2 linked regions of the Styela clava genome follow. The protein of the gene in region 1 interacts with the protein of each later gene in a pairwise test. Links are inferred from orthologs where the notes say so. Each region holds a gene or a part of one and is shown on either strand. Other genes may lie near its edges.

The links. The genes of interacting proteins can lie anywhere in the genome.
Region 2: the proteins of EF-hand domain-containing family member C2-like (region 1) and enhancer of mRNA-decapping protein 3-like interact in binary tests that used the Homo sapiens proteins (3 or more experiments, as listed by UniProt). The link is inferred for Styela clava from reciprocal best matches to the Homo sapiens genes EFHC2 and EDC3.

The regions. Positions count from the first base shown.
Region 1 is NC_135256.1:24,087,235-24,095,128, reverse strand, and holds the start of EF-hand domain-containing family member C2-like, read left to right. Parts: upstream 1-4,827; 5' UTR 4,828-4,990; coding exon 4,991-5,086; intron 5,087-5,629; coding exon 5,630-5,818; intron 5,819-6,188; coding exon 6,189-6,314; intron 6,315-6,437; coding exon 6,438-6,568; intron 6,569-6,720; coding exon 6,721-6,838; intron 6,839-7,163; coding exon 7,164-7,249; intron 7,250-7,319; coding exon 7,320-7,374; intron 7,375-7,799; coding exon 7,800-7,894. UniProt on the Homo sapiens protein: Microtubule inner protein (MIP) part of the dynein-decorated doublet microtubules (DMTs) in cilia axoneme, which is required for motile cilia beating.
Region 2 is NC_135253.1:11,259,688-11,267,577, forward strand, and holds enhancer of mRNA-decapping protein 3-like, read left to right. Parts: upstream 1-4,841; 5' UTR 4,842-5,281; coding exon 5,282-6,664; 3' UTR 6,665-7,482; downstream 7,483-7,890. Other genes in the region: palmitoyltransferase ZDHHC16-like, read left to right, coding at 7,560-7,890. UniProt on the Homo sapiens protein: Binds single-stranded RNA. Involved in the process of mRNA degradation and in the positive regulation of mRNA decapping. May play a role in spermiogenesis and oogenesis.

The DNA of each region.
Region 1 (7,894 bases):
CCTAATTGGACAAATGTGATTACGACAAAGCTATGCAATTCGAGAGCAAAATTTTAATGAGAAATTTGCTGCTTTTTTTTGATAGCATACGTGTTAGACGCGGCTCCAATGAACACGATATCTCTGTTTGGTCTTGGTGGCAGATACCGGTAAGAAGCTTTCTCACATAAGTACGACAAGTTCACGCATCAAGTACACAAAATCGGCAGTGATATAATGGCTTTGTCGCGGAGATCGGGATATTTATTTTTACAATGTCATCCAATCGTTTATTTAGAGCTTGAAATGGGCGTAGGACCTCAGACCAAGTTTGGTTTACGCATCAATAGGAGGTAAAACTCTTACGGCGGACGTCAAAAGACACTGGCGGACAACCCGCGACGCTACTCAAGCGTTTCTGTGGACTGATTAACGCCCTATGGCGGATTTAAAGTGGGAGTCCCCAAATCAGGCCCATGGCACTAATACTTTCGCTCCGAAAATATTCGTACCAAGATGACGCACAACCTAACCTGGTACAGGTAAGATACTGTGTTCAGGTTGTGCGCCATCTTGATACGAATACTTCGGGAGCACCCTAATACTGAGCTGTGAAGGCTACGATATAGGAGCGTCGGCATACCCCAATGGTGGCCTATCAAGTGGCTATCGTGAAGCTGACACAATACGGCTTGGCCCATACCACCAAATCCTAAATATATGGTTCCATTACATTTGACTTGAAGACACAAATTGACTTAAGAGTTAAGGTTACCACTGTCAGACTTGAGGGCTGCAGAATGTATCTTTTTGCTCGAGCTTTCTTTGAAATGAGATGGAATAGAAGCCACATATATATATATTGACTTTAATGGATGGCCCACTATAACATATTAGGCTGGGAGATAAAAGTCAAATCCACCAGGACTAAAACATGTATCAAAGAAGTGCTGTGTATCTCCCATGATATGTCAATATCAAATCCGTTTGGAATATAAGATCCCAATGATAATCACCAAATGATGTAATATCATTTTGGAAAACGTTTGAAATTTGAGTACAATAAAAAACAGAAGTAAACATTGGTAAGAATATGCCAATAAAAAGTCTTTCAAGAAACTCGTATATACTTACACTGCTCCTACGCTCTGTTCACCACACACTTTTGATTACCGCATATATACCGTATTCACTTTATTAGTACTTTATGAACATGCAGTTCACAGTCCGTGTCACACAATACAGCATATCAGGGGATCCAAACCGCGGGTCAATTGCGGCCCGCGTAACGATTTAAAAAGGCCCGCCGAACTTTATTGCAATAGTTTAATGGTGAAACGTAAATGAATACCAATACAGTACGTTTAACACTTCAAGTGTTTACCTTCTTGCGCTCTGGATACGGCAAATTGTTACATTATTTTCACACTTTGAGCACGTGTATGTTCGTAATAATTCAATTATAACGGTATTTTTTGTATACGTACCTGCAATAGAATTACATACGGCGGTATTTTATTTATCAACCCTAAATTAAGGAAGCTTAAAGATGTTAAAAAAACAAAAACTAGACACTGAAAAAAGGACGTTTTTGGATAAATGGCAGTGTTCTTATTTCTTTTTTGAAAAGAATCAAATTTCAGTGATTTGTCTTCCTTGCCAACAAGATATTCCAGTTCTGATGCAATATAACATTGGACGCGATTATGAGACGAAGCATTATCAAATTATGATCAGTTGAAGCGTGAGCGGCGTTTTTCAAAATTTAATTCGTCGTTAAATTCAGACAAAAGTCAAACGAAGATCATAAAACGTCAAATGAAAGTGAATCCACGTTATTGACCAGTTATATTGTAACGTCGCTAAAAATAATCGCCCGTTTGCTGAAGAGGAATTTTTCCGCGAATGTATTCTGCAAGTTTTGGAAGACATTTCTCCTAATATAAAAAGTAAATTTTCCAGCTATAGTCTAACAACACAATCATGAACCATTACAAATCAAAATTTCAGTCCAGACTGGCAGATATCCCACAATACAACGTACCGAATTGGGGCCACGTTTTAACATCTGATTTCGATCAAATTTTGTTGGTTTTTCGTTATTTTTATTCGGGGGAGTTGGGGCATTTCGTGCAAAAATCCAGGGTCGGCACATTTCGTCGCTACGCCACTGATTAGAGATTCTGTTTCAGATACCCTCTCGCATTTCCTTCAGAATGAATTTATAATGTACCAATTTGTAGTAAATATTAGTACATTCCACATAATACAAATAATTTGAGCTTCATTTCATTTGAAATGGTTGATATTGTTACAAACCCATTATCACACAAATTTTTATACTTCCATAAAGTTAACAGCTGGTGAGTATTTGTGATGGGTTGGTTTTCTTTAACAGAGTGAATATATTGTAGACTACAGTGGCGGCGCGTGGTCATTTTGACAACCGGGTCAAGCTACTGCGGGACCAAGTCACCCCCATCTACGGGGACAGGATGAGCGCTGTAAGTTCTCCCATCATTTTATGAGTATAAAAACCATTCCATCGGTAACAACCAATCGGCAAAAGCGACAATTTTTAACGATAAGAAAGTGTATTTAAAACCGGTCCAAGTCAAGGGATTAATAAATATAGACATAGTTTATTTTGAAACCTCTTTCAAAAGGAAAGGCAATATTTACCCAGATAAAAACAATGACATATCAACAGAAACTTCGGAAAATATTAACATTTCCGAATGTTCGGTATTTTACTGCATTGTCCAGATGCTCCATAGAAGATTGATGATCCCTGGCACGCTCGGATCACGGGCGGTACAAAAAAAGCAGGCAATAAAAACAGAAAAGTGCATTTTTGTCCTCGCTGTAACACAACCATTCGTGTTTTTAATACCAAGTTTCTGCGCAGAATGTAGGCCGACGCTTTCCTCCGTCATGGGATTGTTCCAGTGAACAATTTTTTGGTTGATAAGGCCCAAGACGTTGTACTTCTAATTTTTGTTCCAGCGGCAGCTGCGAAAACGGAGTGCGAAGTAGTGCATCAACCTTATTCATAATGAGGTCTAAGGCTAAGAAATGCGAAGCCGGAAAGAAGTGAGGAAGGAGCTCAAAAGAAATGTGGAAAATCGAAAGCAAATGGACTAAAGGTCGCTAACTGATTCAAATAGCGAAACAAGCGACAAAAACGAAGGCGAGGAAACTATCAACTCTTCAAGCAACCAACGAACGAGAAGGAATGCGTGAACATGTCAACACGTTGTTGTAAGAAACGTCGGCATTGTGTCGTCATAATTTCGGGGCTAGCCCCGATCGGCCCCGATGATTTAGTAAAAGAAACAGAAAACAAACGAGACAAACGCGGCGAATGGAAGATAAAAGAGAGAATACGATATACAATGAGCAACCGGGGCAAAATCGGCGTCGCCCCGTCGACGTTCGGCGAAGGATTTGCGAGCGAAAAATGAACCATGTCGGGAGAATATGGCTAGTGTAGACAGTCTGTGCAACCGATATTGAGGTATTTTTCGAATATTTTTTATTATACCGAAAAAACAACCGGGGCATTGCCCCGGTTGGCCCTATTGACGCGCCGCCACTGGTAGACTACACAAATGGTGGCCTAATCACTCGACAATTTTTAATAATTCTGTACAAAACATACTATCGTAATATATTGTCACATCGATTGACACGTTTAGCGCCTATTACCTTTCTAAAATAATCATGGGAAGTAGGTGGGTCAGCCGAAATAAAACATTTCGTAAAAGAAGAGTGTCAAGTCACATGAGTTTAAGTTTAAAATTTATAGAGGCATATAATATTTTGGCGAAAGCAAAAAATTTTAAAAAGCTTCTGCCATCAAACTGGATTTTAACCACAAACTATTTTTCAAATGAACAGCCATGGCCATGCCTTCACGTTCATTGTACCAAGTCATGACATTTTAATATTTACCACGCATCGCAACAATCTATTTTCCATAATACAAAATTTGTTTTTAATTAAAGATGCGTTGATCAATGCACACACTTGAAATGATAACAAAAAAGAAGTTTTAGTGAAGTTTAGATAATTAAAAATCTGGCGAGCGAGTTCACCAGCACAACCATTGCAACACTTGTCCATTTTGCAAACCAGCACCAATTGTTACTGCTTCAAAATCAATTTGAATACTAAGAGGAAAAAATAAAATCAACTAAAAATATATGTACCTCAATCTGTATTCAATAATATGGGATATGCAGACAAAATATATTTAGTAACATATATATGTGTTGTTTATAGAAAAATGAATTTTGTCTGAAGGAAACATAATTGATAAGAGAGTTGTAAATATGTTCGCGTATTAGCAAAATTATGGTTGAGATCCCAGATAAGTCATAGTAGACACTTGGAAAAAGAAGCATAAATAATTACCATCTGTCGATTTCTTTCATATGGGAGTGCTAAAAATTTGAAATTGATTGGCACATTAGTTTCGAGAAAAGGGAAAGATTTTCTAACAACAGCAATCATCCCAACATCAGCACTTCTTGTTCTATGTGTTGTGGTTGAACACATGTGGCGCGCAAGCACAGAGATGATCAAATTTCATTGCCATGGTTACCAATCCAATCACCGAGTTGTTGCTGACGCTCTGGATCGAAACTTACCTCGGTCGTCTTTTTGATCGAATCTAAATTAGTATTATTACTATTTAATTAGCGAAAATTATAAAAGAACAGATTTAATTTGGGATCATGTCTCTTCCGTGTCTACCTGGAAACAATTTTAATCTCAGGGTGAGTTTGCTTCAGTACTTTGTTGTTAATCCAGTAGCCTAATCTCATACGCTAGAACTGCAGAAAGGCACTAAATCTGGAAAATGTTTTATGGTAATTTCCCCCTTGAATATTGAATCTCGAAATTTGCTAATAAATGTTCATATGACTGCAATTTCTGGAATAAAAAGTAAAGGTCAAAACGGTAAAAACCGATTGCCGTATCGCTTTCAATACCATTTGTATGTGGGATGTTTGGATCAAGTACATTCTTCAATTTTGCATATGAGAACTTGAAATTTCGTTTTCTTGATGAATCGGTTTCCGTTTCACCCTTTCTAACAAAGGTTGGTATTGATTAGATTCAATTTAACTAAGTAAAATAGACAACATTATACGGTTATATATAAAGAATAAAATACAAATAACGATAAATACAAATACTGACTGAAAAAATATTACAATGCAGGGCTTCGGGAACTGAATATCTTTCAGCAATACCCTATACCTATATTTTATCAGAACATATTTTATGACACTTTCACTAATATACTTTATATCACTAATAAAGTAGTACACAATGCTGCTGATAGTGTCTATTTATTTCACCACATCATTTTTAAACATGGGGAACTTATTTAAGATAGTGTGGTTTATCTCATGATATTGAATTTAAAAAGATTTATAGGCTACCTGAGTTTTAATATTATAAAAATTATAAATATATTATAAAAATTTTGGTTAATTTTGAGCATTTGGATAATGTGATTCTCAGTAGTTTTGTCCCATACAGTGTCAACATTGATTTTTATTGTCAGACATTTTCAATTGGAATATCATTAATCTAATATTGCACCAACAATATTTTGATGACAAATGTTTTGAAACAGCTTGGGAAAGAGAGATTTCACAAATCACATCATTTCGATTATAACAATGAAGTAGCAATGTTGACTGGAGAAGAGAAACCAGGGATTGGTGGAGAACCGTTACTTGGTCAGAAGAAAAAACCTAAGAACAGTGTTTTTCCAAGAGGAGAGGGAAGCAATGCACCAACATGGGTGGCATTCGATAGGCAGGTGTGTGGGTTAGTTGGTAATCCTAATAAATGTCAAGACTAAACTGGATTTATGTGCATGATTTAGGTTGTTTTGGACTATGATATTTTATGTTCCTGTTTTGATTTAAAGTAAAGGTCTAGTTACTGAAATATATATTATAGAATCAAGATGAAAAATTCATCTTGCTGGACTCAAAGCTTCATCTTTAATGAATCGGGCACTGTGTTATTGATTATGTTTCGATAATATAGAAAATTCATGAAAGAATAAATAAATTATTTGCAAACCACTCTCACCTACTTAATTCACTAGTCCCACTTTATTATTACTTTATTTAATATTATCATTGGTCAAGCAATAATGAATATTGCTTTTCTTTTGATGTCAGGTCTTATGCTTTCAAGCCTATTTCCAAGAGGCTGTGCATGAAAAACGGGAAGAACAGTTTCGTATTCGAAATTGTAAAATCTATTTTTACTTGGAGGATGATTCTATACAAGTGATCGAACCAACGGTAATAATGAACCTATATTATTGTCTATTTTTTCGCAAAGTTGTGTTTTATTTAGATACTTGCATACTGTTCACTCTTTTAAGGAGCTACAATATTAACTCATTAGCTGAATTCTTTTTTCAGGTTAAAAATTCTGGAATTCCTCAAGGAACTTTAATCAGACGCCACAGAATTCCCTTACCAGCTCCAAATGATGATCAGTTTTATACTGTTGAACATTTCAATGTGGGAAATGAGATTGTTCTTTATGGAAGGTGAGTATTAAGCCTTTATTTTAAGTTCAACAAATAATGAATGGAAAAGTATTATCCAGTAAAATAACTTGCAGGATGATACTTTATTACCATTAAAAAATCGCAGTGTATCAAATAATGTATTGGTAATTAATTTATAATTTTTTTGACAGAAAATTCAAGTTGATGGATTGTGATGAATTCACCCGTAATTTCTTGCGTAAACTCGGGGTACGAGTGTCCAACTCGGAAAGAACTCCAGATGATCCATATACATCATTGAGACAGGACGTACGTATGTTTTGACTGATTGTATATGTTTCTTTTTTTAACGAACCATTTTTGTTCATTTTGTAATTTTATAATAGGGAAATCTATCATTTCTGACAGACAATCGATATTATATATTCCACTAAATGGCTGATAGCATTAAGACTCCCAGCTCTAGTGAAATGGGAAATAAAAAATCTTGTATATTCCACCAACCCCCTACCCCCCATTTTGAAAGTATAGTGTGTTATGGATTTTCAAAATTCTAGAGACAAATATTTTTAAAAAATTAATATGGAGTAGTAATGGAATATGATGGTGTAAAAAATACTATGTTATGTTGCAGATGGAGGAAAGCATGCAACCTCTTCGACCATATGAACGCACTGATACATTGAAACAATTCTTGAGCCATGATAGACATGTTCTGAGGTAAACTGAAATTCAATTGAATTTGTTGGTTTGCATCTACCAGTGATGGTTAATTTATTTTATTTTTTAGATTTTGGTGTTTTTGGGATGACGGTGATTGTATGTTCGGAGATACAAGGGAAATGGTGAGGCTTGACAATATTTTCCTATCAACTCTTGTATTGACAAAAGATAGAAACTTCTTTGCACATCAATAGTTGTTTTTGGGGTACTCCTGTAGTATGCGAACCAAGATGACGGGCACAGGGACGTAGTATGTGTACGTATGAGTGTGAACATGGAATATCCAAGTACTGGTGTATGAATATTATGATTTGAATTACTAATCAATGACTTTGAGCTTGGGAGATTTACATCGAAATCTTACGTGGGATGATTATTTAAAAAAATTCACAATAGTCTTTTGTCTGAACAAATGTCTGAAATATGTTTTCAAATGGTTCCGACTCTTAGCTTATGTGTATACTTATATGAGTACCAAAACAAAGGCATTTGTGTTTATGTGTCTGTGCTACACATAGCTAACCATTGCTTGTCTTTCTTGATCAAGGTTCTCCATTATTTTCTTGCTGATGACACGGTTGAAATTCGCGAAGTCATTCAACCCAACTCAGGACGGGATGCAGTACCTGTATTTGTTAAACG
Region 2 (7,890 bases), on another chromosome or scaffold:
ATATTTACATATATATATAGAATCTACAATGAGACAAGACATGGAAATAAAGAGGAGGTTATAGAAAGGTAAAAGTTGTGTAAAGTAGAATTCAAAGAGAATGGTGTATTTTTACTTTGGATTTTTTGTTTTGGACGGTTAAAACATATTCTCAATTAAATGTACTTTGCTACGCTAAAAATACTTACACTCGCATTGTTACCATTTTGTGAAATAGTTGGTCTATCCATGTCGGGAAGAAAAAAAAAATTTTAAAGTTTATACCACCTGGGCTTTTTGAAAAAATACCGCTTTTGACACAATTTTTGACGAGCTTATTATTTCACTGTCCTATATGGCGGCATTGTAAATAATTAAAAGTATGACTCGCTCGAATCTACTTTTAGAAAGCATTTTAATACTAACGAAATCTATTTAATGGGAAGAGGAATGCTAACCACAAATTTTTAATAATATAAATCTTTTGAGGGGAATTTGAAATTCGAATATTCAAAGTATGTTACTCTCAATTAATTCTTAAGAATTGAAAGCCGAATTGAAACACCATATATATTTAGAAGAAGAAGAAGGACTTTACCTTAGTAACAGTTCATTGTTTTCATCAGTTCGTTTTTTGATCAGGTTTTCCACCTCGAATATATATATATATCATGTTCTATGAGAGTTCATTTCGATTGTTCGACAACACAGTCCATATTCATAATTTTAACGTTTCCATATTTTATTCGATTTAATTCATTGTTTCGTCATGATGTTTTGATTGTTCCGGCTTGTCAGCAATTTGATCCTTGAACGCTTTTGATGTGTATATATATGGTTTCTCATCAATCGTTGAGAGCTGCGGAAAGAAAACAGAGATATTAGATCAGCATGGGCCCCAATTTACGACTAATATGGTAGATGATGGAAAGGAAACTTATCTTTCGCTTGGTCAGCTTTTTGGTTGATTTCGTCAAATTGTTGCCTGTCCTGGTGTTGTCCGTACTTGTGGTTGAAACCGGTGATCCGGTCTGTTTCAGAAGGTTAATTCCAGTCGGTTTTGTCACCATTTATAGTGATTTGTTACCACTACACATAAATTGTTTGTTGACTGATCATCTTTGCGGATCATGACCCCAGTATTGACTGACAATAATTTTGTCTTGCGTTCGTTAACTCGAACTGTACATCTTTCGATAGCCTTCGGCCGTGGTAAATTGACGTTTGAAACACCCTATGAGTTTTATTCGTATATAGCAGTAATCTATGGATGATAGAAATAAATTCTGAGATACATATTGTTAAACTACTTCCGTAACAGACAATAAAATAGATGAATATGTAATCCCATATTTGATGTTAGTACGATGTTAGTTGGCATATATAGGTGGGTCAACAGCTACTAGACTACAGTCACTCTTAAGTAAGTTAGGCATTTTTGATACCAATTTTTCACAAAGTATGCAAACACCACATCATTTGATGGGATGCATGTCGCGCATATTTGTCTTAGGCCAGTAAGGTATTGAACATGTATCCCGTCTTAATTATTTTGTAGATACTGTTACAAATAAACACACATACATTTTACCTTGAATTCATGCTAAGAACAGGCCGAACTACTGTTAACGAGCAAAAAATTCCCCTCGTTTGTTTGCAAGCACTTCGGCGCGTTAAAGAACTTTAGTAAATACCAACGACTGGTGAATACCGATTCTCGGTAAAATGATAGAAGAAGGCACTTTACGAGACGTCTGTTTTGGCGCGCAAAAAAATCTCTCGAATATTAACGATACTTCGAGAATACCACTTTTGCCTTTTACGAGAAAGTGGGTGCTCTACTAACACGTTACGGTTAAACGATAAAGAAGTTGGGCGAATGGGGCCCCAGGTCGAGTATGGGATTAGTTAGCCAGTTTTTTTGTTTTCGGAAGCATGGACTTGATGGTGGAGGAAGCCGTAACGGACCATCGGTTACGTGAACCACCCTACGGCGGTGAGGAGTCCAGCAATCTTCTCGCACATTGTCATCCTGCATGGGATTCGAACCTGCGAACCCACGAATGGTAGTCAGGTGGGAGTTAGGAATACCATATGCAAATATGTTTGTGCCACATCAACTAAAAGGAGGACGGACTAAAAGTAGGCACTTGCAAATTAGGCACTTTTTTAGGCACTTATTAGACACTTTGGAAAAAAAATAAAAAGGGCGTAATACCTTTTAAAAACATAATTAATTAGTTAAAAATGGTCAAATGAAATGTTGAAAACGCAAATTGCAACGGGCAAACTCAATAACAATATTTAAAACGTAGTATTAAAGGCAGTCGCACGCGCTTGGTCACTACATATGCTAGGCACATATTTAGGCACTTCGAAAAATAAAGAAAATGGCAATTATCTCTAATAAAAGACAGAGACATAAACATATTACCCACACTGATTAGCCTGGGTAAATATCCAATAGATGCACTTGAGTCTAGTACTGGAATTTAGAAATAATAAATTGTTACCGGTAGGCACTTATTTAGGCACTTCGGAAAAAAGGTGAAATGGACGTAGTAGCTCCTAAAAAGGTAATGAATTAGTTCAAAATATTTAAATTAAATGTTGAACGCGAAAACTGCAACAGTTAAATCCAATAACGATTTTTAAAACGTAGTATTAAAGGGAGACGCACGCGCTCTGTCTCCACGTATGCTAGGCACATATTTGGGCACTTCGAAAAATAAAGAAAATGGCAATTATCATTAATAAAAGACAGAGAAATAAAAATATTACCCACACTGATTAGCCTGGGTAAATATCCAATAGATGCACTTGAGTCTTGTACCGGAATTTAGAAATAATAAATTGTTGCCGGTAGGCACTTTTTTAGGCACTTATTTAGGCACATCGAAAAAAAGGTGAAATGAGCGTAATAACTTTTAAAATGATAATTAATTAGTTGAAAATTGTCAAATTAAATATTGAACACGCAAATTGCAATGGGTGAACCGAATAACAATATTTAAAACGTAGTATTAAAAGGAGTCACACGCGCTCGGTCACCACATATGCTAGGCACATATTTAGGCACTTCGAAAAAAGAAGAAAATCGGAATTATCACCAATAGAAGATAGAGAATTCATTATTCTAGGAGTTACTACGGCCATTTCACCTTTTTTTCGAAGTGCCTAAATAAGTGCCTAAAAAGTGCCTACCGGTAACAATTTATTATTTCTAAATTCCAGTACTAGACTCAAGTGCATCTATTGGATATTTGCCCAGGCTAATCAGTGTGGGTAAAATTTTTATTACTCTGTCTTTTATTGGTGATAATTCTGATTTTCTTCTTTTTTCAAAGTGCCTAAATATGTGCCTAGCATATGTGATGACCGAGCGCGTGTGACTCCTTTTAATACTACGTTTTAAATATTGTTATTCGATTCGCCTATTGCAATTTGCGTGCTATACATTTAATTTGACAATTTATAACTAATTAATTATTATTTTAAAAGTTATTACGCCCATTTCACCTTTTTTTTCAATGTGCCTAAATAAGTGCCTAAAAAGTGCCTACCGGTAACAATTTATTATTTCTAAATTCCAGTACTAGACTCAAGTGCATCTATTGGATATTTACCCAGGCTAATCAGTGTGGGTAATATTTTTATTTTCCTGTCTTTTATTAGTGATAATTGCCATTTTCTTTATTCTTCGAAGTGCCTAAATATGTGCCTAGCATATGTGGTGACAGAGCGCGTGCGTCTCCCTTTAGTAATACGTTTTAAAAATCATTACAGTATTGGGTTTAACTGTTGCAATTTTCGCGTTCAACAATTAATTTAAATATTTTGAACTAATTCATTATCTTTCTAGGAGTTACTACGTCCATTTCACCTTTTTTTTCGATGTGCCTAAATAAGTGCCTAAAAAAGTGCCTACCGGTAACAATTTATTATTTCTAAATTCCAGTACTAGACTCAAGTGCATCTCTTAGATATTTACTCAGGCTAATCAGTGTGGGTAATATGTTTATTCACTGTCTTTTATTAGTGAATATGCCATTTTATTTATTTTTCGAACTGCATAAATATGTGCCTAGCATATGTGGTGACCAAGCGCGTGCGACTGCCTTTAATACTGCGTTTTAAATATTGCTATTGAGTTTGCCCGTTGCAATTTGCGTTTTCAACATTTAATTTGACCATTTTTAACTAATTAATTATGTTTTTAAAAGGTATTACGCCCTTTTTACTTTTTTTCCAAGGTGCCTAAATAAGTGCCTAATTTGCAAGTGCCTACTTTTAGTCCGTCCCAACTAAAAGTACGGTACTTACCGCTTTTAGTGAACCTGCGACGACTAAACTGGGGGCGGGTCTCATGTAGTTTCGTACCTAACGTACTTCTAGTAGGCGTAGCATAACAATTTCTTCACATCTCAATCCTAACCCCCACCTGACCCCACCATCCCAAAATTACGTCACTACGACGTCACAGTGACGTAATAGAGCCCTTCAAACTATGCGAACTGTCATCCAAGACGCGCAGACGAGAACCCGAAATCGAACAGCCATTTCTCTCGTTTTCTCCTCGCAACGATCCCGATAGGAGAGAGATCGCTGACGTTAGTCATTTCTTTATCGTCGGCGCCGATGCTATTTCGGGCGATCGTATGAGTATTTGGCAAGCTCTATGACGTGATTGTGACGTCGTAGTGACGTAATTATCGGATGGCGTAGTCAGGTGAGGGTTAGGATTGGCATGTCAAAAAATTGTTATGCTACACCTACTAGAAGTACGTTAGGTACGAAACTACACGAGACCCCTGGGGTCTGGTGTACGGTACGGTAACATTAGCGAAGTCAGACTGTACGGTGTAGGTCTCTGTGCGTTTATACTTTTGGACGGACAACTCACCAGCGACACCAGGCTTCTGCCTCTCACTCTCAGCCTTTCTGTAATCGAGTTGTCGTCTCTGGTGTTGCTTGTTTACTCAGTTGTCCGTCAGCCTCATACCGTAGATCAGTAGATTGAAAAATTGTTTCATTTTTTGAAAATATTGATGTACTGTATTTTATGATAACAACACAGACATAGTTATTCAATATCTGTATATGCATTTTTACGTTTTGGATTTTTTTCTTTTTCCTATAGCCTAATGCTTTACCGGTATATGATTATAATATTTGAATATACTTTAATTGATTGATTGAACTTGGGAATGTTATTTTTTCATTTACATGATCATTTGATGGATACATTGATTTTGTAGGCCCTATAGCCTAGTTCTCTTCCAGTGTTCAGAAACCGAAAGTCATGACATCTTACGTTGGTTCCAATGTTACAATAAACTGTGGGGATGTAATAGGTCATTGTCAGGGAATCGTGAAAGAAGTAGACCAAAAATCACAAACAATTACAATTTCCAATCCATATCGAAATGGTTTTAAATGCCCACATAATGAGATGACAATTCCGTCGTCTGATATCGTAGAAATCACCATCATTGATGGCCTTCTTTCAACATTGGAAACTAAGGATAAGAAATCCCCAAAAATTGGGTTATCAAGTGTAAAAAAAGAAAAAAGGCCTAAAAACAATGAAAGCCGACAAGTTGGTATTACAGATAGAATACCAATGCATTCTAGTTCACCACAACCTGGCTCGGAGTATAAAGGTGGGAAAAAGTATTCAAAAGTACGGAAGGGTTTATATAATCGGGATGACGATACGTTTGATAACAACCCGCAAGATATGACTGAAGATTTCGATTTTGTCAAGAATCTTGCTCTTTTTGATAAACTTGCTGTATACAATGAGATAAACTCTGGAAGTGATGGAGAAAGTATGAGAACTCCATCAAAACAGAGACATAGAAAGGTTGAAGAGAAATACAAGCATGACGAGTTCGTTCTACAAAAAGGGCCTGTAATATACCGACAAATAATAACAAATGAGGTGACCAAATACGAAGTTTCAGAATATTACACAGATGCAGGACTTGTAGTTCCCACTATTTCAAATGATACCTACATACAAATATTGCATGCTGCTGAACTTATGGGTTTCGGAATGGATAGACAAACTGAAATATTTGGAGCTAATGCAAGTCTCATGGCTCTATCTGTATTGGGTGGCTGTAATAGGCTTCATCCAAGAAATTCACATCAGCCCCCATCTGCAGTTGTAATGTGTGGGCCTCATAGAACAGGTGCTCAAGGTGTTGCAACAGCGAGGCATCTTTCAAATCATAATGTAAAAGTGAATGTGTTCATGCCCAATTTTGTTAAAATACATGCTTGCCTACAAGAAGAATTAAGACTATTGTCTCTAACAGATGCTGTTGTTATTAGCGAATATTCTGAATTACCTACAAATCCTGTTGATTTAATCATTTCTGCGATGGATGAAGAAGATTGTGAATTTTTATATCAGCAATCTTGGTATCAACATTCCGTTCGTTGGTGTAATGAAAATCGAGCTCCTTTAATGTGTCTCTCTCCACCAGCTGCATTACCTCCAGATTTGCATATAAAATGGTCTGTGTGTGCAGTACTGCCTTTTTCACTTTCAGCAAAATATGGTGCTTTATACATGATTGATGTAGGAATACCAGTGAGAGCATTTGAAAAACTAGGAATTCAGTATCAGTCGCCTTTCTGTGGTAAATCTTTCCTTCATTTACACAAAAGTAAATGAGAAATGTACAGTACTTGCTTTTTTAATCTTTTAAATGCATTTTGTACCGGTATAAATGTGAGTGTGACCTTGGTCATTCGTATATTAAAGGTTTACCATCTCTTGGAAAATGTGCTGGTTAAATAAACATATTTGTTTTTTTTTTGCTCCTTCATTCCATTTCTCAATTTTTATCTTCCTTTTATTAATCTCAATATTGGAGAAAAGGGTTGACAGATGATAATATGGCACCTTGTAAAGGTTTTTATGAATGTTTGATAACCAAGCAAGACTCCACCCAACTATATGTGTGTGGATGGAGAGTCCAAAAGATCACCACTAGTCCACACTGCAGCTAAATATAAATACGATGCCATCAGCATATTAAAAATATCCATCTCAAGAAATGACATTGCAATGTTTGGTACTTGACTACAGTGTATAAATAAACAGTTTGCTGAAGGGAATTTACTTATTTCTCCTTGAAATATACTTACAGAATACAGAAAAAATCTCATCTAGTAATTTTGTTATAAACTTGGTCATTGTTAACGCCTATATTGGGGATCATTTTTTTGCTTTAACAAACCATTTTTGCCATTTAATTTATTCATTCCACCCTTTTCTGTAGATTGATTGTATTTATAAAATGCTGTAGTAAATGAATGAAGAATTTCTACTACCGGTACTTGTTTTTTTGAACTGGTCAGTTTTAGCCAGTATTGGGTACTTACAATGTATCACCTAGTTCAATACTGATTTCTTTGACAAAATTCCATTTTCTACAGTTGTTTTTGTATGACAATGTTCATCTAATGCTATTTTCATTTTTCTGTAGATTTATTATGGGTTTTTTAAAGCTAATTTATAATGCTGAACTAGTTAGTACCTTGTAAATAGTCGATGTTCCATCACAATGAGGATTCACTTTAGACGTCCAGATTTTTCCGGAATAAAATTGAGATGGAGATATCTGAAACTATGTTACCTATCATTGACTTATAACACCTATTCATCTGCAACAGAAGTCCTTTTTGAGCCCATCATAACTCTAGTGGATTTTGTTTCAAGATGGTTTGGTTTCGCCTTTGTTACATTGGTGACAATACTGGTTGCATATGTTGTTGTGGTTTATTACTCAATTGCAGTACCATATCTCATCTTAGCATTTTCATCAATACGAGCTGGAATAACTATTTTCTACGGACATTATCTTCTAATCATGATTAGTTTTCATTATTTTAAAG